Linked DNA regions of Callithrix jacchus. The protein of the gene in region 3 purifies or fractionates together with the protein of the main gene of each other region. This does not show direct contact. Links are inferred from orthologs where the notes say so. Each region holds a gene or a part of one and is shown on either strand. Other genes may lie near its edges.

Evidence for each region.
Region 1: the proteins of DNAAF10 (region 3) and POLR3E purify together in Homo sapiens (affinity purification with mass spectrometry; 3 studies listed by BioGRID and IntAct, with this or other methods). This does not show direct contact. The link is inferred for Callithrix jacchus from reciprocal best matches to the Homo sapiens genes DNAAF10 and POLR3E.
Region 2: the proteins of DNAAF10 (region 3) and POLR2J purify together in Homo sapiens (affinity purification with mass spectrometry; 3 studies listed by BioGRID and IntAct, with this or other methods). This does not show direct contact. The link is inferred for Callithrix jacchus from reciprocal best matches to the Homo sapiens genes DNAAF10 and POLR2J.
Region 4: the proteins of DNAAF10 (region 3) and CCT2 purify together in Homo sapiens (affinity purification with mass spectrometry; 3 studies listed by BioGRID and IntAct, with this or other methods). This does not show direct contact. The link is inferred for Callithrix jacchus from reciprocal best matches to the Homo sapiens genes DNAAF10 and CCT2.

What each region holds. Positions count from the first base shown.
Region 1 is NC_133513.1:22,887,579-22,893,425, reverse strand, and holds the start of POLR3E (DNA-directed RNA polymerase III subunit RPC5), read right to left. Parts: upstream 3,631-5,847; 5' UTR 3,515-3,630; intron 1-3,514. UniProt on the Homo sapiens protein: DNA-dependent RNA polymerase catalyzes the transcription of DNA into RNA using the four ribonucleoside triphosphates as substrates.
Region 2 is NC_133503.1:11,371,620-11,377,516, reverse strand, and holds the start of POLR2J (DNA-directed RNA polymerase II subunit RPB11-a), read right to left. Parts: upstream 3,861-5,897; 5' UTR 3,789-3,860; coding exon 3,736-3,788; intron 1,126-3,735; coding exon 1,036-1,125; intron 1-1,035. UniProt on the Homo sapiens protein: Core component of RNA polymerase II (Pol II), a DNA-dependent RNA polymerase which synthesizes mRNA precursors and many functional non-coding RNAs using the four ribonucleoside triphosphates as substrates.
Region 3 is NC_133515.1:45,712,749-45,718,841, forward strand, and holds the start of DNAAF10 (dynein axonemal assembly factor 10), read left to right. Parts: upstream 1-2,676; coding exon 2,677-2,859; intron 2,860-6,093. Other genes in the region: RNA-binding protein PNO1, read right to left, coding at 1,605-1,754, 1,982-2,176. UniProt on the Homo sapiens protein: Key assembly factor specifically required for the stability of axonemal dynein heavy chains in cytoplasm.
Region 4 is NC_133510.1:72,133,926-72,139,795, reverse strand, and holds the start of CCT2 (T-complex protein 1 subunit beta), read right to left. Parts: upstream 3,871-5,870; 5' UTR 3,791-3,870; coding exon 3,788-3,790; intron 3,479-3,787; exon of another isoform or gene 3,351-3,478; intron 3,096-3,350; coding exon 3,021-3,095; intron 2,322-3,020; coding exon 2,256-2,321; intron 1,552-2,255; coding exon 1,440-1,551; intron 1,129-1,439; coding exon 1,052-1,128; intron 923-1,051; coding exon 810-922; intron 1-809. UniProt on the Homo sapiens protein: Component of the chaperonin-containing T-complex (TRiC), a molecular chaperone complex that assists the folding of actin, tubulin and other proteins upon ATP hydrolysis.

The DNA.
Region 1 (5,847 bases), on a different chromosome or scaffold from region 3:
CAGCTGGGCAGTGGACAACCGAGAGGCTAGAGTGCCAGGTGAGCAAGGGGACGATCATAACCACTAAGAGGGTGTGGCCTGGGAGGTTCCCGAGACCCAACAGTTCTTTCTCAGCAACTGTTATGCCCCGTTGGCCTCTGCCCTGCCAGGGATCAGGAAGGATGAGGTGCCCTGTCTGCTGGAAAGCTGGAGCTCCTCCCTCTGGAAAGTGCATCTGAGCTGATGCAAAGAGTGTCACCTCCCTTCATCCTCCAGGCTGAGGTGATCCAACTCAGTGGCTTTCAAAGTTTTCAGCCTAAGACCCACCACAGTAAGAAATTCATCTTAGCCAGGCGCAGTGGCTCAAGCCTGTAATCCCAGAACTTTGGGAGGCTGAGGTGGGTGGATCTCGAGGTCAGGAGTTCGAGACAAGCCTGATCAACATGGTGAAACCCCATCTCTACTAAAAATAAAAAATTAGCTGGGCGTGGTAATCCCAGCTACTCAGGAACATGAGGCAGGAGAATCGCTTGAACCTGGGAGGCAGAGATTGCAGTAAGCTGAGATCCTGCCACTCCACTCCAGCATGGGTGACAGAGCAAGACTGTGTCTCAAAAAAAAAGAAAGAAAAAGAAATTCATCTCATATAAATGGTCCAGTACATACAATTGCATAACTGAAACAAGTTTTCACATAACCATAACTGTCCCTACTATATGTCAGACAGTGATGTTTTCTACTTCATTCAAAACAAAAAAAATGCTAGCTTCAATTCCCCTAAATTGATTTTATTTCCCACTAATAAATCTCAATCTGCAATGTGAAAAGCACTCATCCGAGGCTCCCTACGGCTCCTTATTCCTACTTCCGTCTCCCGGCAACAGCCAGAGTCCTCGTAAAGAAGTTAATCAGGCTGGCGTGGTGGCTCATACTGGTAATCCCAACACTTTAGAAGGCTTAGGTGGAAGGACCACTTGAGACCAGCAGTTCAAGACCAGCCTGAGCAACATAGTGAGACCCTGATCTCTATTACACACACACACACACACACACAGACAAAATAGCCCAGCATGGCCTATAGTCCCAACTTCTTGGGCTGAGGCAGCAGGCTTGCTTGAACCCAGGAGTTTGAGGCTGCAGTAAGCTATGATCACAAGACCTTCCCTCTATTGGGTGAAAAAAAAAAAAAAAAAAAAAGAGCCAGGTGCGGTGGCTGACTGTAATCTCAGCACTTTGGGAGTCCAAGGCAGGCAGATCTCCTGAGGTCAGGAGTTCAAGACCAGCCTGACCAGTAAGGTGAAACCCTGTGTCTACTAAAAATACAGAAATTAGCCAGGTGTGGTGGCTCACACCAGTAATCCCAGCTACTCGGGAGGTTGAGGCAGGAGAATTGCTTGAACCAGGAGGCGGAGGCTGCAATGAGCCAAGATCTTGCCACTGCACTCCAGCCTGGGCAAGAGAGAGCAAGACTTTGTCTTTAAAAAAAAAAAAAAATATATATATATATATATATATATATATATATATATATATGAGGCTGAGCAGAAGAATTACTTGAACCTGGGAGGTGGAGGGAGCTGATATCATGCCACTGCACTCTAGCCTGGTGCTTGGCGACAGAGCGAGACTCTGTCTCAAAAAAAAAAAAAAAAAACAATTTATATATATCTCGTATTATTTCCCTGCTTAAAACCTGTCAACCATCATTGTCATATAAATAAAACCCAAACTCCTTTCCATAAGCCACTCTAAGGCCCTGCATGATTTTGTCTCGATCTTCCCCTCACCATCTTTTTGGCCTGGTAGCCAGTTGCAGGGCTTCCAAGAAGCCAAGTCCCAGTTCACCCCAAGGTCCTCTGCACATCATCTATTCCCCACAGGGCTTTCCAAGGTTGCTCCTTTTTATTAAATAGCATCATCACCGTCTGCAGCTGAGGATAGGCTCCCTGACTCCTCTATTTTAAGAGCCTTCTCCAACCTCCTCCTAGGCACTACACCACATCTCTGTTTGCTTTCCTCAGTGGTTCTCATCTTAATCTGAAACTACCTGGTCTATTTGCTCAGGTGTTGTCTGTCTTCTGCAACAGAATGTAAGCTCCATGAAGGCTTCTCAGCGCGTCAGTTTCCTCTACTAAATGCAGAGATAATTATACTTTATTTCATCAAAGCTGTTATGGAGATCATTACTTAAAAAATCCACTGCTGTTCTCTCAATATCTAGAACACTGCCTGGCACAAAGTTGACACTCAATATAGTACAAAGAATACTTTATATTTAATCTTCTCATTGGCACTATCAACAGAGATTTATCATCAATTTAGAAATGAGGAGACAGGTTCAGAGATGAGTACGTTTTCCAAGGTGGAATCAAGACAGTAACTCGGGTCTCGCTGATGTCAAAGATCCTTATTCTTATTAACCATTACACTGCACAGCTCTTCAATAAAAGGCAGTATGGTTAAGTGGGTAAGAGCCTGGACTCGAGACCAAAACTGTGCAGGTTCAAATCCCACCACTGCTGCTTCATATCTGTGGCCCACCTGAGTTGTCTACGCTTGGTATCCCTCCCTATTTTCATCCCTGAAGTAGGGAAACTAAATACCGACCTCCAGACGGCTGGGGAAGGGAGGAACAGGGGAGTAAGGACCCAACCTATGGGAAGGTTTGTTACTACTTGACAACATGTTTTCTTCCAATATAAGAGGGTAATGACACTAAGCAACAAGTCAAGCGCTGCAAGCAAGAGCGTCACCTGCTTTCTACTGAGCCGTCACCACAACCCCATGAGATAGGAATTTCTATTATTCCCATTTCACAGATGAGCAAACTGTGGCGATCGATACGATCTCTTCTTTCTGTCCCCAAGCTCAAGGAATTCTAAAGGTAACCCAAAGGAATGACCTTGTTTGTTTACTGACACCTCCTCGGACCGACCGGTCAGGGCCGTATCCTAAGCACAGAGTTGGTTCAGTAAACACTGAATGGTTGCCTGAATAAATGAATGAGGAATCTCGGGCCTCTCCGGGCAGAGGATGATCCGGTTCAGCTGCAAAGAGGGGAGCTCCGGCAAGCGCAGGTGCCGTCCCTGCCCATCCCGGCTGGCCGCCGACCCCGAGCCACGCCGTCCAATGGGTTTCTGCTCCCTCACGGGTGGTCAGGCCCCCTTCTCACGCCCACCACGAAGTTCCTGCCGCGAGCAGCTACCACACCCGACGCCAGACAGGTGTTCCTTCCATAGGAGGCCGCTCCGGCCCGGGTGGGGCAGATCGGCTGGACCCTGAGTCACCGCCGGCAGCATCGGCCGCGGCCTCCCCAACACCCAAGTGTAGGGCCAGGGAGGTCGGTGTCCGGGGTTGGCCTGGTCGACCTAGAGCCGGCTGTCCGTCCTCCCCACCCGCGTCCCAAGAGGCCCCCAGTCCCTACGCACAGCGCGGCGCGGGCCTCCTTGGCCTACTCGGGAATCTAGCCCAGGCCCACATACTGAGTGCTGTCCGGCTCAAGCCCCAGCTAGGGCGCTGCCAAGTCGGGACTCACCTCTCCGCGGGGGCCGCGCGGACGGCGGCAAGAGCCCAGGAACCCGCGGGCTGCAGAGGCGGCGGCGGCCCGGCTCTCCTCTCAGGCAGCGGCCATGTTGCTGGTGGAGAAACTCTGGCGGACACGTGGGGGGAGCAGGCCGGCCCCAGCGCTTCCTCTTACCCACAATGCCCCGCCCCGGGGCACGGAGCTCCGCCCCTCCGCCGCGCCATTTATGGAGGCCATGCCCCGCCCTGCAGCAGGGGGCGCTGATGGCGTGCTCAAAACGGAGATGGCAGTGTGTGCAGCGGAGACAAAAACAATCCACCTTGGCAGCGGTGGGATTCGAACCCACGCCCCCGAAGAGACTGGAGCCTTAATCCAGCGCCTTAGACCGCTCGGCCACGCTACCTAGCTGCGAATTATTTCTTCTAGAGAGTTACTTAATGCGTTTTCTAGAATTTATTCTCGAAATTGAAAGGCATTTTCGCTGAGGTTTTTGTTTTTTTTTTTTTTACTTAACATGTGTTCTGATTCCTATAGAATTATTTTCAAAAGTCATGTATTCGAAAATAAGTACTTACTCCAATCTTTAGACCCAGGTTTGTTCCAAATAGGTTTTACAGCAAAAAGCATTTTTAGAAACTCTATTATATTCTGAGTTGGATGGTTAACCGGGGACCTGGTTAACCCACAAATAATCCACACGACCCTGATTGGGTGTCTCCGGGAGAAGAAATTGATTCGATCAGAAACACGCATCAGAGGATCTACGGCCAAACCCGGGAGCTGGTCTGGGCAGTTATCTCTGAAAAATTATGTTTAAATTTTTACTTACACAACACGCGAATTAATGCAAAATATTTAAACTTTGCAGATGAGGTACAAATCATGTGTTGGAAATTCAGTCCCCAATGTGGCAGTACTGTATGGTGGGCCCTTTAAGGGGCGATTAGATGACGAGGGTGGAGCCTTCATGAATGGATTAATCTATTCATGGATTCATGTATTAACGGGTTAATGGATTAATGGGTTATCTTGGGAGGGGGACTAATGGCTTTATAAGTAGACACCTGAGCTAGCAAGTGAGCAGCTCAGCCCCCTTTCCATATGATGCCTTGTACTGCCTGGTGACTCTGCAGGGGTACCCCACCAGCAAGCAGGCTCTCACCAGCTACATCCTGTTGACCTTGGACTTATCAGCCTCCATAATTGTAAGAAATAACTTCCTTTTATTTACAAATTACCCAGTTTCAGGTATCCTGTTATAAGCAACAGAAAATGGACTAAAACACTATATATATATTTCTAGATCTTTTGCTGTGAATTTATACGGATATATAGAGATATCATAGAATATAGCTTTGTTTTTATTGTGTATGGATTTTAACAAAAATATTGTCACATTATTCGTACAGATCTGCAAGTGGCTGGTCTTTTTTTTTCCACAAGACTGTATTTAAAAATACCTATCCATGGCTGGACGTGGTGGCTCAAGCCTGTAGTCCCAACAGTTTGGGAGGCCAACACGGGTGGATCACCTGAGGTCAGGAGTTAAGCCTGGCCAACAGGGAGAAAGACCATCTCTACTGAAAATACAAAATTAGCCAGGCGTGGTGGCACATGCCTGTAATACAAACTACTCCAGAGGCCGAGGCAGGAGAATCCGCCGAGCCGGGGGGCAGGGGTTGCCGTGAGCCGAGATCGCGCCATTGCCCTCCAGCCTGGGCGACAAGAGCGAAACTCTGTCTCAAAAAATAAAACAAAAACCTATCTATGTGCATATACACAGATATTAAAAACAAAAATGCAGCCAGGTGTGGTGGCTCATGCCTGTAAGCTCAGCACTTTGGGAAACTGAGGCGGGCAGATCATGAGGTCCAGGGTTTGAGACCAGCCTGGTCAACAGCAAAACTGTCTCTACTAAAAATACAAAAAAAAAAAGAAAAAAAAAGAAAAATCACTCATAGTGCCACCACCTGGCATTAAATTAATGACTTAGTATTGTGGCAATTTTTTTCTTTTCTTTTTTTTAGACAGAGTCTTGCTCTTGTTGTCCAGGCTGGAGTACAGTGGTGTGATCTCCGCTCACTGCAACCTCCTTCTTGAGGGTTCAAGCGATTCTTCTGCCTCAGTCTCCCGCGTAGCTAGCTGGGATTACAGGTACACACCATCACATCCCGCTAATTTTTGTATTTTTAGTAGAGATAGTATTTCAACATGTTGGCCAGGCTGGTCTCGAACTCCTGAACTCAGGTGATTCCCTCCCCCCCAACCCCAACACCCTCCACCTTGGCCTCCCAAAGTGCTGTGATTACAGGTATAAGCTACCGCACCTGGCCTCATGGCACTTT
Region 2 (5,897 bases), on a different chromosome or scaffold from region 3:
CAGCATTGTGTGCTGTGCCCTGGGCACGCAGGGTCTCCTGTGAGCACCACAAAGGACACCCGTGCACAGCTGGCAACACTGGGCTGGAGGAGAGCATAGGGGCTGCACTGGCTGGACTCCGGGGAGGAGTCCTCCATCCCTGTGCCTGGGCACACCTCTCACAGCCTGGGAAAAGCCTGGCTTCACTGATGGCACCAGAGGGAAGAGCCAAGTCTACAAGTGAAATGACAGTCACATTCCTAATCAACCACCTAGCTAGGACTTCAGTGGTGTAAAGGAACACCCATGAACCAAGGCCAGGCACCTGTCTGGCACTGGACAACCACAGAACTCCCCTACCTCTTTCCCTTGTTAAACACAAGTTCTCATCTCTGCCACATACATCTTAAGCGTGCCAGGTGGCACTGAGGTCACAAATAGGGGTGGCATTGGGGGAGCTAATCTTGACTGCTGCTCAGTGCCCCTCAGCCCATGAACACACAGGCCTACTCTGCTGGAACCTGCTCTCACTCACTCACAGAACGTGCACTTAACAGTGAATGGAAGGCTGGGTGCGTGGCTCATGCCTGTAATCCCAGTACTTTGAGAAGCCAAGGCAGGTGAATCACCTGAGGTCAGGAGTTCAAGACCAGTCTAGCCAACATAGTGAAACCCCGCCTCTACTGAGAACACAAAAATTAGCAGGTCATGGTGGCCAGTCCCAGCAGGAGAATCGCTTGAATCTGGGAGGCAGAAGTTGCAGTGAGCCAAAATTGCGCCACTGCACTCTAGCCTGGGCAACGAGCAAAAACTCCCAAAAAAAAAAAAAAGTAAATGCACGTTTGTCTACAGAATAAGCCACTACAGAAGCGTAGCTTATGTGAAGACATGAAGGTCAGCGTCATTTTGATAAAGTACCAACATTACCAAATGCCCAGAGCAAGCCCCCAGAAGGACTTCCTGTAGCTGAGAGATGGAGGAAAATCTTAAAACTTCTGTTTTGCCCAGAGGCGCCTATTAAACATAGCCCCTGAGAGCCTTTGACGGGAAACTTACGATTTAATGATGTTTCCCAGTGTGTGGTCTTCTTTGTTGATGGTGAACAAACAGGCATTGGGTACCTTGGTGTCCTTGTTAATGGTGATCCTAGGAAGACACAGAGGCCACAGATGAGGGACAGGGGCTCCCCTCCGCCCACCCCAAGTCTAAACCCTGCCTCCTTCGGACCAGGTGCAGTGGTTCATGTCTGTAATCCCCACCCTTTGGGAGGCTGAGGTAGATGGATGACCTGAAGTCAGGAGTTCCAGACCAGCCTGGCCAACATGGTGAAACTTTGTCTACTAAAAATAAAACCCAAACTGGGTGTGGTGGTCCATGCTTGTGTTCTCAGCTACTTGGGAGGCTGAGGCAGGAGAATCACTTGAACCTGGGAGGAGGTTGAAGTGAGCCAAGATTGCGCCACTGCACTCCAGCCTAGGCAACAGAGCAAGACTGTCTCAAAAAAATAAAAATGAAAAGCTCTGCCTCCTCCTGAAGACCTTTCTCAATCTCTTCCTCCCATAAAGACCTCTCCAGCCTGATTCCCTACCCCAGGTCTGTGGAACCTTGGCCCTTCTCGGAGTTCCTCCTCTTGTCTTTCCTCTCCCTCTCTTTTAGAAGAGATGAGGTTTTGCTTTGTCGTCCTGGTTGGTCTTGAACTTGCCTCAAGTGATCCCTCCTGCTGCCCAGGCTGGAGTGCAGTGGTGTGATCACAGCTCACTGTAGCCTCCAGCCTTAGCCTCCTGAGTAGCTGGGACCACAGGCGCATGCCACCATGCCTAGCCTGCTCCTTTTTTTCTTTTGAGATGGAGTCTTGCTCTGTTGCCCAGGCTGGAGTGTAGTGGCACAATCTCGACTCACTTCAACCTCTGCCTCCCCAGTTCAAGTAATTCTGCCTCAGCCTCCTGAGCAGCTGGGGTTACAGGCGTGTGCCACCATGCTCGGCTTTTTTTTTTTTTTTTTTGCATTTTTAGCAGAGACGGGATTTCACCATGTTGGCCAGGCTGGTCTTGAACGCCTGACCTCGTGATCCAACTGCCTGAGCCTCCCAAAGTGCTGGGATTACAGGCGTGAGCCACTGTGCCTGACTGCCCCTTTTTTCTAAGGTAGTTTCTCCATGTTGACACCACAGACGTTTTAGGCTGCATGATTCTTTCCTGTGGGGTGCTATCTTGCTGGACAGCAGCAGCACCCTGACCTCTATCCAGTAGATTCCAGTCATAACCCCCTTTGACACCATAAATGTCCCCAATTATTGCCAAATGGTCCCCAGCTGAGAGTCTGCTCTAAAATGAGGCCAAGCCCGGTGCACTGGCTCACACCTGTAATCCCAGCACTTTGGGAGGCAGAGACGGGCAGATCACCTGAGGTTGGGAGTTTGAGACCAGCCTGACCAACATGGAGAAACCCGGTCTCTACTAAAAACACACAATTAGCCGGATGTGATGGTGCATGCCTGTAATCCCAGCTATTCAGGAGGCTGAGGCAGGAAAATCACTTGAACCTGGGACATGGAGGTGGAGGTTGCCGTGAGATCACACCATTGCACTCCAGCCTGGGTGGACAGAGTGAGACTGTCCAAAAAAAAAAAAAAAGGCCAAACTGGCCGGCAAGGGCCAGACCAAGACCTCTGCACGCCAACCTGGGAACAGTAAGAGCCAGTGGTTATGAGGTCTTCCAGGTGCCGAGCTTTAGACCAAGTGCTTGACACAAATTACCTCATCCAATTCTTTTTGAGACAAGATCTCACTCTGTCGCCCAGGCTGGAGTGCAGTGATGCGATCACAGCTCACTGGAGCCTGCAACTCCTGTGCTCAAGCCAGCCTCCCAAAGTGATGGGATTAAACGCGTGAGCCAGCGCACCTGGCCAAATCCCATGTTTAAGAACAGTAATAGACCGGAGGCCGTCACTCACGCCTGTAATGCCTGCACTCTGGGAGGCCGAGGCAGGAGCATCAGCTGAGATTGGGAGTTCGAGACCACACAGGCTAATATAGAGAAACCGCGTCTCTACCAAAAATAAGAAATTAGCCGGGCGTGGTGGCGCATGCTTGTAATTCCAGCTACTCAGGAAGCTGAGGCAGGAGAATTGCTTGCACCTGGGAGGTGGAGGTTGCAGTGAGCCGAAATCGCGCCATTGCACTCCAGCCTGGGCAACAGGAGCAAAACTCCGTTTCGAAAAAAATGAAAAGTAACAAATCCATTTTCCAGAAAAGGAAACAGGGCCTCCAAAAGATCACGGCACTCGTACAGATACAGTCGCTAAGTGGGGGACCCAGGGGCCAAGCCCAAGCTGTCTCTCCCGGGGACTCCTTCAACCAGCAGGCAGCAAGAAGCCACTGCGGCTTTTACACAGGCCGTTGGCAAATCAAAGGACACGGGGGATGGAGGCGGCGGGCGGAAGACAAGAGAGGAGGCTGCCACGTCCCAGAGGAAGAGGGCTATGGAGAGCCAGACACTCTGGGTTCGAATACAAGCCCCGCCACCTCCTCCGTGTCTGGGGCAACTTGCTCCTCCGAGCCTCAGTGTCCTCATCTGCCAAATGGACACACTCGCCACTGCCTCCCGGAACTGGCTTAAATTTGGCCGACACAGGCCGTGCGGACTATCAGGCAAAAGCTGCTTCCCTCCCGGAGCAAGACATGGGCAGGAAACGCCCCCGGAATGCGACAGTCGCAGCCCCGCAAACCTCGGCTCCTCCCAGCTGGCGTCACTTACTTCTTCTCGCCTTCGAAGAGCAAGAACGACTCGAAGGCTGGAGGGGCGTTCATACTCCTGCCGCCGCCGCCGCCGCCGCCGCCGCCGCCGCCACCACTGCCGCGTCCAGACCCTAAGCGTCCGCTGCCGCCGCCTCCGAAGCCCTAGTAAGAGGCTTCTTCCGGATTACTCTGGCGGGTCAAACTAGCGTAGGGACCAGCTCATCGCCCCCTATTGGGCTGGAGGATCTTGCGCAGGAGCGAGAAAAGCCCGAGCGAGGCCAGTACCTCTGCGCCTGCGTCAGTATGGAAGCCCCACCCCCCCAACTCCCACCCCCTCACCCCCTCGTGGCTTTCAACGTGGGCGCTTTTTGGCGCATGCTCAGAGCGCCGGGAGGGCTGCTCTGCCCCTCCAGAGATCTCCTAATCCTGACTGAGTGGAAACCCCAAGCTGTGCCTCTCTGCTCCCCACGACCCTTGATCTCGCTTTGCAACCGTGCACCCCCTTGGAGTGCACAGCAGGAGGCCCCTGAATAGAGAGAATAGAGCTAAGGGGAATGGGCAGCTGCGGCTGGCAGCCGTGAGGGGAGCTGAGGAAGGTCTCGTGGCCAGAGGCAGATCTGTGCTAAGCCCCCTGCCGAGGCTGCCTACACCGACTGCTGTGAGACCCCTGGCTGGGATGCCACTGGCTTGTTAGAAGGGAGGGACAGTTGGGTGACGGATGGGGAAGGAGGCGGGTGTATACAGCAGTGAGAGGGAGCTCGGAGGGTTATGTAAATCTTTTTATATATTATTATCATTTAGAGACAGTGGCTCACTCTGTCGCCCAGGCTGGAGTGCAGTGGTGCCATCATAGCTCAATGCAGCCTCCAACTCCCGGGCTCCGGAGATCCACTTCAGCCTTTCAAGTAGCTAGGACTTGCAGGCACGTGCCATCACACCTAGCTAGTTTTCTTTTAAGAGTTGGGGTCTTGCTGTGTTGCCCAGGCTGGTCTTGAACTCCTGGCTTCCAGCAATTCTCTCATCTCAGCCTCCCAAAGGGCTAAGATTGAGCCACTGCACTTGGTGGATAAGTCTATCTTACCTTTTGGTTTGGCTGTTTTGCAGACTACAGTTTAGCATAAAGGCCCTCCTTGAGACGGAGTCTTACTCTGTCGCCCAGGCTGGAGTGCAGTGGTGTGATATCAGCTCTGTCGCCCAGGCTGGAGTGCAGTGGTGTGATACCAGCTCTGTCGCCCAGGCTGGAGTGCAGTGGTGTGATATCAGCTCTGTCTTCAGGCTGGAGTGCAGTGGTGTGATATCAGCTCTGTCGCCCAGGCTGGAGTGCAGTGGTGTGATATCAGCTCTGTCGCCCAGGCTGGAGTGCAGTGGTGTGATACCAGCTCTGTCGCCCAGGCTGGAGTGCAGTGGTGTGATACCAGCTCTGTCACCCAGGCTGGAGTGCAGTGGTGTGACACCAGCTCTGTCGCCCAGGCTGCAGTGCAGTGTCGACATCATAGCTCACTACAGCCTCAAGCTCCTGGGCTCAATCCCACCACGGTGGGAGGCTGAGGCAGGCCTCCCACGAGGTCAAGTCCTCCTGCCTCAGCCTCCCCAATAGCTAAGACCACAGGCAGACACCACAGCACCCAGTTATTTATTTATTTTTTTTTTACTTTTTGTAGAGATGGGGGGGGGGGGGTCCAACTTTGTTGCCCAAGCTGGTCTCAAACCCCTGGCCTCAAGTGATCTTCTCACCTTGGCCTCCCAAAGTGCTGGGATTATAGGCATGAGCTCCACCCCAGCCACACACGCCATGCTGATTTGTTACACGTTGGCTGTAGTTGCTTTTGTGCTACGTGGCAGAGTGGTTGTGACTCAGAGCTGCATGCCTGGTCCTTTACAGAAAACGTTTGCTGATCCTAATCTCAGGGATTGTGGCTGTGTTGACTTTCCTGCTTGTTTGATTACAGCCCAGACACTGAAGTTACTTATTAACTTGCAGTTTCTATCCCATAGAAAAGAAAACTTCATTAACTGGTTCGTATCTAACATCACAATCTTTGTCTGGGTTGCTTCTCTTAAAATGCTTACTGGCCAGGCACAGTGGCTCATATCTGCAGTCCTAGCTCTTTGGGAGGCTGAGGAGGGAGGATTGCTTGAGCCCAGGAGTTTGACACTAGCCTGGGCAATAGAGCGAGATCT
Region 3 (6,093 bases):
AAAAGGAAAATATAATTAATTTTGGTTATCGATTCTGGCATGAAATTGGCACCCTAAAAAGAAAGCCCAAAGTAAATTAATTTTAAATGTCTATTTCCTGGATTGACAGCACAGAATTTAATATATATATATATATATATATATATATATATATATATATATATGCTGGGCATGGTGGGTCACACCTGTAATCCCAGCACTTTGGGAGGCCAAAGCAGGCGGATGACCTGAGGTCAGGTGCTTGAGACCAGCCTGGCCAACATGGTAAAACCCGGTCTCCACTAAAAATACAAAAATTAGCCACGTGTGGTGGTGGGCGCCTGTTATCACTAAGCCAAGATCTTGCCACTGCACTCCAACCTGGTCGAAAGAGCGAAATAAAATATGTATATATGTGTGTATGTGTGTGTGTGTATATAGTGTATGTGTATGATCATGTGTGTGTATATTTACATTTTTGATATCTATATTTATATATAAAAAATATATATATACACATTTTAAATTTCATGCTGTCAATCAACCAAAATTATATTTTCATTTTTAAGGATTCTGATACCATCATCAGGACTGGTATAGTATGATCATACATATATGTATAATCGTGTGTATGTATGTGTATGTGTGTGTATTATATATATACACACACATATGTATCATACACACACACACACACACACATATGATCATACACATATATACAAATAACCGGTGGCTTTTTTTTTTGAGACAGGGTCTCACTCTGTCAACCAGCCTGGAGTGCTGTGGTATAAACACACACACACACACACACACAATGTATATGTGTGTATATATATTATATATGTGTATACATATATACACACGTATATGTATATACACATATATGTACACACATGTATATATACACACACATAAGTACATGTTTCTTATCAAAATGACACATTTTAAAATCAAGAGTACCATTAAAATACAGTCATGCACTGCATAATGACATTTTGGTCAATGACCAACTGCTCACACCATGGTGGTCTCATTGCAGTATAATGAAGACTATACAGAAACCTGTTATATGTCACTGGATACTGGCAATGCAGATCAAGTAGGTGAAATGACTGAATCTCAGTAATTGTACTGGGACATGTGGTTTTCCATATTAAAAAATATGTAAACAAATACACCACCTATGTTTGTGTTAAGGACACTCTATAATGTTTGCACTAGGACTAAGTCATCTAACAAAACGTATCTCAGAACATATCCCTGATGCTGACTGTATATACTTCTTACAAAGCAGCAAGTACTTATGTTCATTGTTTACTTACTTCTATTTATGACAATCTCTTTACTCGACCTTTTCTCAATTTGATATTGAACATTATAAAAGATATACAGAAGCCGAACCAGTATTTTGGTATGATCTCAGAACTTACAAATCCAACTAATATTTGTATCAAATGCAGATTTTGAAGGCATTTGGGAAGTTCAAACTCAATATAGTAAATTTTTAAACTGGACAAAAACCATTTAACAGAATACGTCCCCTTAAGTAAAGTCTATTCAAGCCTTTTCATCTCTAGGAGAGAAAGCGTGGTGTATTGGGAAATGGCTGAGATTTTCCTTACCCTGATTTCTACATTCCTTGATTTCAAGTTAAAGCGTATCTGAAGTCCCAAATGTTCCACAATAGGAGTAAATATCTTCATCCAGTTTTCTTTTAATGGTGTGTATCTGTTAGCTGGGACCGGAATTTTCCTTGTTTCTTCTTTCCCACTCTGTAATAAAAGAACACACAACTCAGGAAACTATGGAGGGATGGTGATGGAGTTGTAAAATGACATCTGATCCACAAAGGGCTTCCTTTAACTGAACTAGTTACACTTCAAAGAATCACTTCTTTCAGCAAAACAGCCCCCCGCAGCTTCAACATAGCCCAGAGGCCACCGGCTTGATTGGCCTCTGGCCATTGCCTCGTTGCTATCCCACGGTCCCAGCCACATACCAGGAGCCCGTCACCACAGAGGGGCGGGAAGACTGGCCTCTTCGCCGGCCTGGCCTCTTCTGTGTCCATAAGGCCCGCATCCCCGCCCTCTCCCGCTGCGGACAGCTGTTCAGCCTGCCGTTTTTTCGCCCGCCGGCCACCCTTGCGGGTGACCTGGGTAAAGCCGTCCTCTGCCCCGGCGCTCTGTGCTTCCATTTCGGATTCCAACCCTGGGATTCTTAAAGCACTTCCGGCTGAAACACGTGCGCTGCTCCACAGCGCAGGAGCCAGCCTCTGCCAACCACCCCCGCAGCTCCGCCCCTATCCTAAAACGCCACAGGCCGGGGACCTGCAGAATTTGGGGGCGGGGTGGAAAGGGCATGTAGGCTGTCCTAAGATATGCCTGATGCTCATCGTCTCACTCCAGTCACGCCACTCACAGCACAAGTATTTTGTAATCTCTAATATGTATGTGTGCTAAAGACAGTGGGTAAAGGCGATAAACAAATTCGTTTTGTTGTGAAGGAACATTCTATGCGATCGCAGGAGCGTATCTGGCATTATCCGGAGATAACCACAGCCAACTTTCTAGGGCATCTGGGGCAGAGTACGGAAAGCAGGAGGGTCAAATTGCCCATGTTTGGAGTCTGGTTTCCAGGTTGGTGTTTTGGGGGGCTCTGGGTGTGGCGGTTGCCGGAGCTGAAATCGGCTGGACCATGTCGGCCTTCGAGAAGCCTCAGATCATCGCCCATATCCAGAAGGGCTTCAACTACACGGTGTTTGACTGTAAGTGGGTGCCCTGCAGCGCCAAATTTGTGACCATGGGCAACTTCGCACGGGGCACCGGCGTCATTCAGCTGTACGAGATCCAGCACGGGGACCTGAAGCTGCTTCGGGAGGTGGGTGCCGGGTCAAGCATCTGGACTGCCGTTGGGAGCGCGTGCAGATCCTGGGATCTGCATTTCTCTTTGCCAGAGTCTTCGTGCAGCATCCCCCCAAAGCATAGCTTGAGCCGCGCAAGACCAGAGAAGCTGACCGCCGACTGAGGAATGTTTCCTACTTAAAATGTTTATGCTCATCCGCGGGCTAGTTCCTCCGTGTCCAACCCTCCTGTCACTCCCAGTGCAGTCCGGCCAAAGCGGGCACCAGTATGCCTGCAGTATAGTTGGAAGAGGCAACCTAACACATTCGACAGGTATCAGTTGAGTGCCTGGTATTCCCAGGCATGTCAGTGGCAATGTCCCCGATCTCATGGAGTTTATTTTCTAGTGGGAGAGATACTCAGTTCGGTAATCAAAGCAACGATACGTAAATACAAACTGAGATGACTTGTCTCACACAAAGTAACATGATAACGGCTCTCTGAGAGTGAAAACAGATTTGGGATGAGTAAAAACTGATTTTGGTATGTGCATAAACTAGGCCGAACGAGGAGTAAAGGACAAGGTTTCCAGAGCTTCTGCATATGCAGAAGCTCAGTGATGGGAGGAAGTTTATCTCCTTAAGAAACTAGAGGGGTAAGCAGGAAGCAGACATTACAAGAGCTGTAGGACATTGAAAGGATTTATGCCTTTTTTCTAAGAAAAATGGAAAACCATTGAAAGGATTTAAGCAGGGTGTGGCAAAATTAGGTTTACACGTTGATTACTAGCGAAAGAATTAAAGAATAATAATCACTAGCATTTTATAGCTGTTTATAGTTTTTAAAAACTCTTAATTTAGGTTACCTAAAAGAAGAAAAAAGATCAGTCATAATCAGATCAGGGTTGTAATAGACTACTAGCGCAGGGAAGGTTAAGAACTCTGGGGATCAAAATTTATGGAGAGAATCGGCTTGGAGGAGGTAGGGACTACACTGGTAGCTAAAGGATGAATACAGTTGTTTGGACTGGTAAGTCTGGAATAGAAAGTATGTAAGACCCCATCCCACTTGAAATTTCCCTGAATAACAAACATGAAACATGGCCTATTCCTTTTTACCTTTCCTTAGCGTCCAGTAACCTGTGGCTTTTTTTTTTTTTTTTTTTTTTGACAGGGTCTCACTCTGTCACCCAGCCTGGAGTGCTGTGGTGAAAACACAGCTCACTGTGACCTCCACCTCCCTGGCTCAAGGGATCCTCCCACCTCAGCCTCCAGAGTAGCTGGGATACAGGTGTGTGCCACCACACCTAGCTAATTTTTTTGTACTTTTTTTTTTTTGGTAGAGATGGGGTTTCACCATGTTGCCCAGGCTGGTGTCCACCTCCTGGGCTCAAGCAGTCTGCCCGCCTCGGCCTCTCAAAATGCTGGGATTACAAGAGTGAACCACCGCACCCGGCCACCTGTTGCTATTCTAATGTTCAGTTCAGATTATCTAATGTATGATGTCCTTCCTGATTTCTACACAAAGTAAAATTTCTTTATATCGCATTTGGGGTTCTTTTTGTTTTTTATTGTTGTTTTCTTTTTTTTAGAGATGGCGTAGTTCTGTCACTCAGTCTGGACTGCAGTCGTATTGTCATACCTCACTGTAGCCTAGAACTCCTGGGCTCAAACCATCCTACTGCCTCTGCCTCCCAAAGTGCAGGATAAGGTGTGAGCTACCATTAAAAAGAAAAGGCATTTAAAGGATTTTCATTTTTTATTTTTTTTGAGACGGAGTCTGGCTCTGTTGCCCGAGCTGGAGTGCAATGGCGCGACCTTGGCTCATTGCATCCTCCGCCTCCCAGGTTCAAACTAGTCTGCCTCAGTCACCCTAGTAACTGGGTTTACATGTGCTTGCCACCGTGCCCAGCTAATTTTTTTGTATTTTTAGTAGAGATGGGGTTTCACCATGTTGGTCGGGCTGGTCTCATACACCTGACCTCAGGTGATCCACCCGCTTCAGCCTCCCAGAGTGCTGGGATTACAGACTTGAGCCACTGCATCTGGCCATTTATTCCTTTTTCAAAGAAAATGGGACATGATTGAAATTTTTCTTTTCTTTTTTTTTGTTTTTGAGATAGGTTCTCACTCTTGCCTAGGATGGAGTACAGTGGCAGGATCAGGGCTCAGACTTGTGACTTTTTAAAATAAGAATAGGCCTGGTGCAGTGGCTACACCTGTAATCCCAACACTTTGGGAGGCAGAGGGGTGGATTGCTTGAGCCCAGGAGTTAAAGACCAGCCTGGGCTACAAGATGAAACCTCATCTTTACTTTTTGTATAAAATAATACAAAAATTAGCTGGGCATAGTGACATGTGCCTGTAGTCCCAGCTACTTAGGAGGCTGTGGTGGGAGGATGTCTTGAACCCAGAAGGTCAAGGCTGTAGTGAGCCATGATTGCACCACTGCACTTCAGCCTGGGTGACAGAGAAAGACCCTGCCTCAAAAAATAATAAAATAAGAATATATGATTTGTACGCATTTCAAAAGTACGCTTACTCCTTTAGGTGGAGTAGAGTGCTTTGTCTTTTGTAGAAACGCTAGGGAATTTCAGCAAATTTTAAAAAGATAATTTTCTTTTGTAGCAAAAGTAATATGTATTTGTGATAGAACATTTAGAAAATATGACAGGAAAATGAAGAAAATATCACTCATAATCTCAATGCCAGGAATAACCACTAAGTGTATTTTCACCTGGATCCTTTGGGTCTTCTTTTTTTTCTACCATGAATAATCTGAGAACACACTATTTCAAGGTACTGTGTTTAACAAGAACCAAAGATGTTTAAAAGTTGAGTCCTTTCTCTTAAAGAGCCAACCGTCCAAAAAGAGGATAAAACTAATGCAAGAATACCTTTAAGAACTTACGTTGTTTTTGGCTGCTCTGGTGAAATGGAAAATAATATAGGTTAAATACTGGTCCAGTAACTCCCACTCTTTACTGGGCATCAGGATCATATGAGTGCATTTTGTGCCGTGTGTGTGTGTGTGTGTGTGTGTGTGTGTTTTAAAACATTTGTGCCTTGGTCCTACCGCTAGAAATTCTGACACAGTGGTACATATTTGTTGCATCTAGAGTAAAGTTTAGAAATTAGAATTTTTTTAAAACTTTTCCAAGGTGATTCTAATGAGTCTCAAGGCTGAGAATTATTGAGCTAGATGGGTCATTTATGAAAATATTAGGAAACAGACTTGATTTATCATTACAGAACTACCCTTAAGTCACATG
Region 4 (5,870 bases), on a different chromosome or scaffold from region 3:
AGGCAAGAGAATCGCTTGAACCTAGGAGGCAGAGGTTGCGGTGAGCTGAGATCATGCCACTGCACTCTATCCTGGGCAACTCTAAGAGCAAGACTCGTCTCAAAAAAAATAAATAAATAAAAGAATGTGGAAAACAAACACTATTATATAGCTGTGGACGGGTAAATCAATAATTTTTTTCCAGAGGCTTATTTTATAACCTATGTGAAAGTGCCTTAAAACAGTGGTCCCCGGTCTTTTTGGCACCAGAGACTGGTTTTATGGAAGACAATTTTTTCACCTGCCATGCAGCCCAGGTTTGGGGGTAGGGAACCTTGTCTTAAAACACACACAACTACCTCTGGACCCAACAATTACACTTTAGAAACTTGTGGGCTATGTTCTTTATAACATTGTTATTATAAAGCTAAAAATCGCTGAATACACAAATCTCCCCCTAGAAATGGGTTAAGTAAATATAGTCATTCTAGCCACATACTCAAATGGGTAACACTATTAAAATACTGCATAGAAAACTGACATCCAAAAATGTGCTTAGTATTTAATTAGGTTAAAAAGAAGCTAATAAATCCTCTACACAGTATTATACTGTTGGCTTTATTTGCATATTTTGATTAGAGATACAAAAAGACTAAAAACCCAAACTTTAGTGGTCATCTCTGGAGGCTGACCTAGGTTTGACTGTGGAGTGGGGTGACGTAGCAAGATGATCTTTGTGTATGCTTTTCAGTATCCTCTAGATTTCTTGCACTGAGCATGTTATGAAAGAACACTAAATATTTAAAACAGTAATACTCTGGTATACCAACCCATGATCGACTGCAGAACTCAACAGAGCCTCTCTTGCTGCCTTTGTGGCTTCTCTCCAACCCGCTATGATGGTCTGTGGATGAATCTTTTTTGCAATTAAAGATTCTGCTTCCTATTAATAAAGTTATAAAAGTTATAAATGAAAAAGTATTAAGCACTCAATAGTAAAGATGAAATAAGGACTTGATTATCTGATATTCAAAAACACAGTAGGAAAACAGAGTTGCTCAGTTGTTCTTACCCTTAATAATTCTGCTGCTAAAACGGTAACAGAGGTAGTGCCATCACCAACTTCATCATCTTGAACCCTTGACATGTCTAGAAAAAGAAATTAGTTATTAACTCAAAATTGCTTCTTAGCACTAAATTCTTCAAAATATTCACTTCCAATCTAAACATATTTATCAAGCTTCCTCATCCAACAAATTCTTTAGAACTCTGAGGTCTAAAATGCAACACTTTTACCACTATGGCACTCCTGCAGCTTGTATTTTAATGATGATAATTAAAAAGTAATGGACATCAATTGATTGACAGTACAGCTGGTCAACACAGCTTATTTGAAAAGTTATTTCAAAATATTAACAAACAATATTATTAGGTTGGTGAAAAAGTATATTCAGACTTACCAACTAAAACTTTAGCTGCTGGATTGTCAACACCAATGTTTTTTAGAATAGTGGCACCATCATTGGTTACCATAAGAGAGGCATCTCGTCCACTGCTTAGAAGAATTTTGTCCTAAAGGATACATAATTGGTTCAAGTTAAGATATAATTACATCTTGAAGAATGCATGCATCAATCGGTATTCTCATACAATGCTAGCGTATAAACACTCTGGATGGCCATTTTGTGGTATCCATCCATCAAATGTTTTCAATACATACACCATGTAACAAAACCGTGGTATCTACCCCTAGAAACACTAGAAGCACAGGGAGACACTAGCGTTTGTTTCAGCACTGTAACTGCAAAAACCATGAAAAAAAACTATCAATACAGCCATAATTGAATTATAAAATAATTAAGGTGCAAAATACTATTTGTTAAAGAGGAGACTGTATTATTTACTTACCCTGAAAACAATTTAAAAGAGCAAGCTACAAAAAAGTATTTGTAAATAGTACCTCTGTTTTATAAAACAGTATCTGTTACATGAGAATATCTAAGAAAATACATAATAAAGTACACATACTTCTATAAAAGCAAACAGAGTATTAGAAGTTGTAGATGCAAATAACAGTACTTGTCATTGGGGAGGGGCATGGATTGGGGATGGTGATACTCGCTAGTTTGATTTTTACTAAGGATAATACATTTGTCTTACTGTTATAATTAAATATTTTAAAGATTAAAAAGCATATAAAAATGTTTGTTATTAATATATTTCCACTAAAGGCTCTAAAACAATATTAAAACATAAAAGTTTTCTATTTTTCTTACCATGCCTTTGGGTCCCAAGGTGCTCTTTACCAAGTCTCCAATAGCGATGGCACCAATAAAAGAAGACTAGAGTAAAAACCAAGGAGATTATCAGAATCACCTTTACAGTCTTAAGAGAAAAATAGTTTCATCTTTATTTACTTTATTTTTGAGGCAGAGTCTTGCTCTGTCACCCAGGTTGGAGTGCAATGGCAAGATCCCAGCTCACTGCAACCTGAGCCTCCTGGGTCTAAGAGATTCTCCTGCCTCAGCCTCCCGAGTAGCTGGGATTACAGATGCCCACCACCACGCCGACTAATTTTCGTATTTTTTTTTTTAAAGACTGTCTCTCACTCCGTCACCCAGGCTGGAGTGCAGTGGTGCGATCTTTGCTCACTGCAACCTCTACCTTCCGGTTCAAGTGATTCTCCTGACTCAGCCTCCTGAGTAGCTGGGATTACAGGCGCACTCCACCACGCCCAGTTAATTTTTGTATTTTTAGTAGGGACGGGGTTTCACCGTGGGCTGGTCTCGAACTCCTGACCTCCTGATCCGCCCACCTTGGCCTCCCAAAGTGTTGGAATTACAGGCGTGAGCCACCGCGCCCGGCTAATTTTATATTTTTAAAAGAAACAGGGTTTTGCCATATTGGCCAGGCTGGTCTCGAACTCCTAACCTCAGTTCATCTGCCCACCTCGGCCTCCCAAAGTACAGGGATTACAGCAGTGAGCCACTGCGCCTGGCCTCCAGTTTTATCTTTAAAACAATAGTTAGAACAAGGCTTACCAGACGAGCTGTCTCTGCTCTCTCTTCATCAGCTCCTGCCTTGAAGATGTTAACAGGTGTAAGGGAAAGGGACGCCTAAAAAGGAAAACCAAGAGGCATTCTGTTTAAGAACCAATACTCTATACTGAGGTGCCTTCCACTAGTCTTACAAATGGAATCTACCCGAAAATTCATTTAGAATAATGTTTTCAAACAAATAAAGCTTCCATCATCGGAGAAGGCATTTAAGTGCAGGAAAGGACTTGAAGGAAAGCGACAAAAGGCTTTTCAGATTTACAATGGCCCCAGGAGTATTAACTATACACCAGCGACATTGACAGTTACGTATACCGAGACTAAAGACGATCTGGAACAAAGAATGAGGCACGGAGGGGTCGCAGATCATCAAGGGTACAGCCGCCCGGCGGGCGAGTGAACGCGGCGGCCTCCATCTTCCACCTTCGGGTGGCTCCGCCCCTAGGAGGAGGGCGGAGCAGGACCCGCACTAGAAATTTCTTCGCTTGGGGTGAGGCGTGGGCCTGGGTTCCCGGGACTATGGAAACCCGGTCTGGGCAGAAGGAGACGCTGGTCTTGTGGCCACCCCTCCCCCTCGTAGTGGGCTCCAGCGGCTGGCCTGGCACAGGCCGCAGGCCCCAAGGCCCGTACCATGCGCGGCGGGCCCGGGAGACAGGAATGGAGCCTATGACGCTAGCAGGACAGAGGGAGCAATGGGGTGGCAAAGGCACGGCGGGGCAGGAGCAGGGCAAGAGGCTGAGGGCCAGGCTCACCATGGTTCCGAGGGATTCTGCACACAAGTAGATCCCTTCACAACTCGTGCTCGGGGGCCGACAGACAGGCAGAAGCCGGAAGTGACGTCACACGCCCTGCTGTCGAGGGCGGAGCCTCAGCCTGCGCGCCCCGCCGACCAGCCGTTTCCGCCCGCCGGTGTCTCATTTTGATTCGAGACCCACGAGCCGGAAACGCAGCCTTTCGCACTAGAGGGGGCGTGGCCACCGCTCGAGGAGGAGGAGGAAGGGGCGGGTTGAGAGAAGAACAACCTAAGAACAAAGAGGTGGCCGCTGCGCGGATTGTCATAGCAATGGAGTTCTTGCTCACACTTTTAATTTTTATTTTCTTAAATTTAATCTTGAAACATTTGTATTAAAGTCACATATGTACACAGTTTGAAATGTTATATACCATTGCTTTCAACTTTTTCAGTTTTTGGGAGGGGCTATTTACCATCATATTACCAGATAATATTATTGCTATTTTAATTTTAAACATTATTTACTGTGTATTACAGAAGGAGACTTCATTTTCTCTTATTAAATTTTCAAACGTTATTTCTAATTGGACGTTGACTGCCCAGGATAAGGTCTTGTGAACTGACAAGAGACATTTGTAGTATTTTATCTTTGCCTTATTTACTCATTTTCAGGAATTTTTGCATTTCAGTCTGTTTTTTTTTTTTTCCTCTAATAGTAGAGACGACTTATTAGTCTTTGTTTATAATAAACTGAAATATTTGGGACTGATCTCGATCTCTGCCAAACCATGTGAGTGTTTTGGCAGAGATCGAGATCAGTCCCAAATATTTCAGTTTATTAGAGACAGTTTTCTACTTTCTCTAAGTTGACGGATGTCTAAAGCAAAATTAGTTCTCTAGAAAAATTTGTTTTCTGTCATCTGGTGATACCCGCTTTTCACCCTTTGACTAACTGATCACTTAACAAGCTCCTGGATTTTTCTTTTCCTGTTTTGTTTTGTTTTGTTTTGTTTTTTTAAGCGATGGGGTCTGCCATGTTGCCCAGGCTGGCCTGGAATTCCTGGGCTCCAGCAGTCTTCCTGCCTCGGTCTCCTGAGTAGCTGGGGTCTCCTGAATTTTTGACAGTGCTAACATTATCAGGAATTTTCCATTTTTAGTTGTTTCTACCCTTCAGATATCCTCTAGAGGATTGATTTCCACCAGGGGTTGGCAAGCTATGAGGAGTCAAACCCAGCCTGCCAACTGTTTTTCTATGGCGTGAGAGCTAAGAACAGTTTTTTTGTTTTTGTTTTTGTTTTTTGAGACAGAGTCTCACTCTGTCACCCAAGCTAGAGTGCAATGATGTGATCTCGGCTCACTGCAACCTCCGCCTCCCACGTTCAAGCAATTCTCTTGCCTCAGCTTCCTGAGTAGCTGGGATTACAGGCACGTGCCACTGCGCCCAGCTCATTTTTGTATTTTTAGTAGAGACGGGGTTTCAACATCTTGGCCAGGCTGCTCTTGAACTCCTGACCTCGTGATCCACCCACCTCGGCCTCCCAAAGTGCTGGGATTGCAGGCGTGGGCCACCGTGCCAGGCCTAAGAACAGTTTTTACATTTTTAAGTGGTTGAGAGAAATAAACAATTTCCTGACACATGAAGATTCTGTGAAATTAATATTTCAGGGTCCATAAAGCTTCGTTGGAATTCATGTGCATACCCATTCATATTTACCATCACAGTACAATAGCAGAGTTACACAATGGCAGAGTTGAGTAGTCATGACAAGTTGTATGGGCCCACAAAGCCTGAAACATTTATTATTTGATTTTTTTACAGAAAAAGTTTGCCGACCCTGGTTTACGGTATTCCTCAGGTCCAACGTGAAAAGGGGGATTCGGGCTGGACAAATTGTTATTTTAAATCTCCTAAGAGTTTTCTGTTCTTTGTAGGAAAAGTTGGTCTTCTTTCAGGAAATGTACTTTACTAGGCAAATCCCAAATCACATTCTGGAATAAGAAGATTCACAATGAAAAACTAAGATGCCTGCACAATATTGAAAAAGGTTGTTTTTATTGTGGGCAAAATTACATACCTGAAGATGTTTATTATGTCCTCTGGT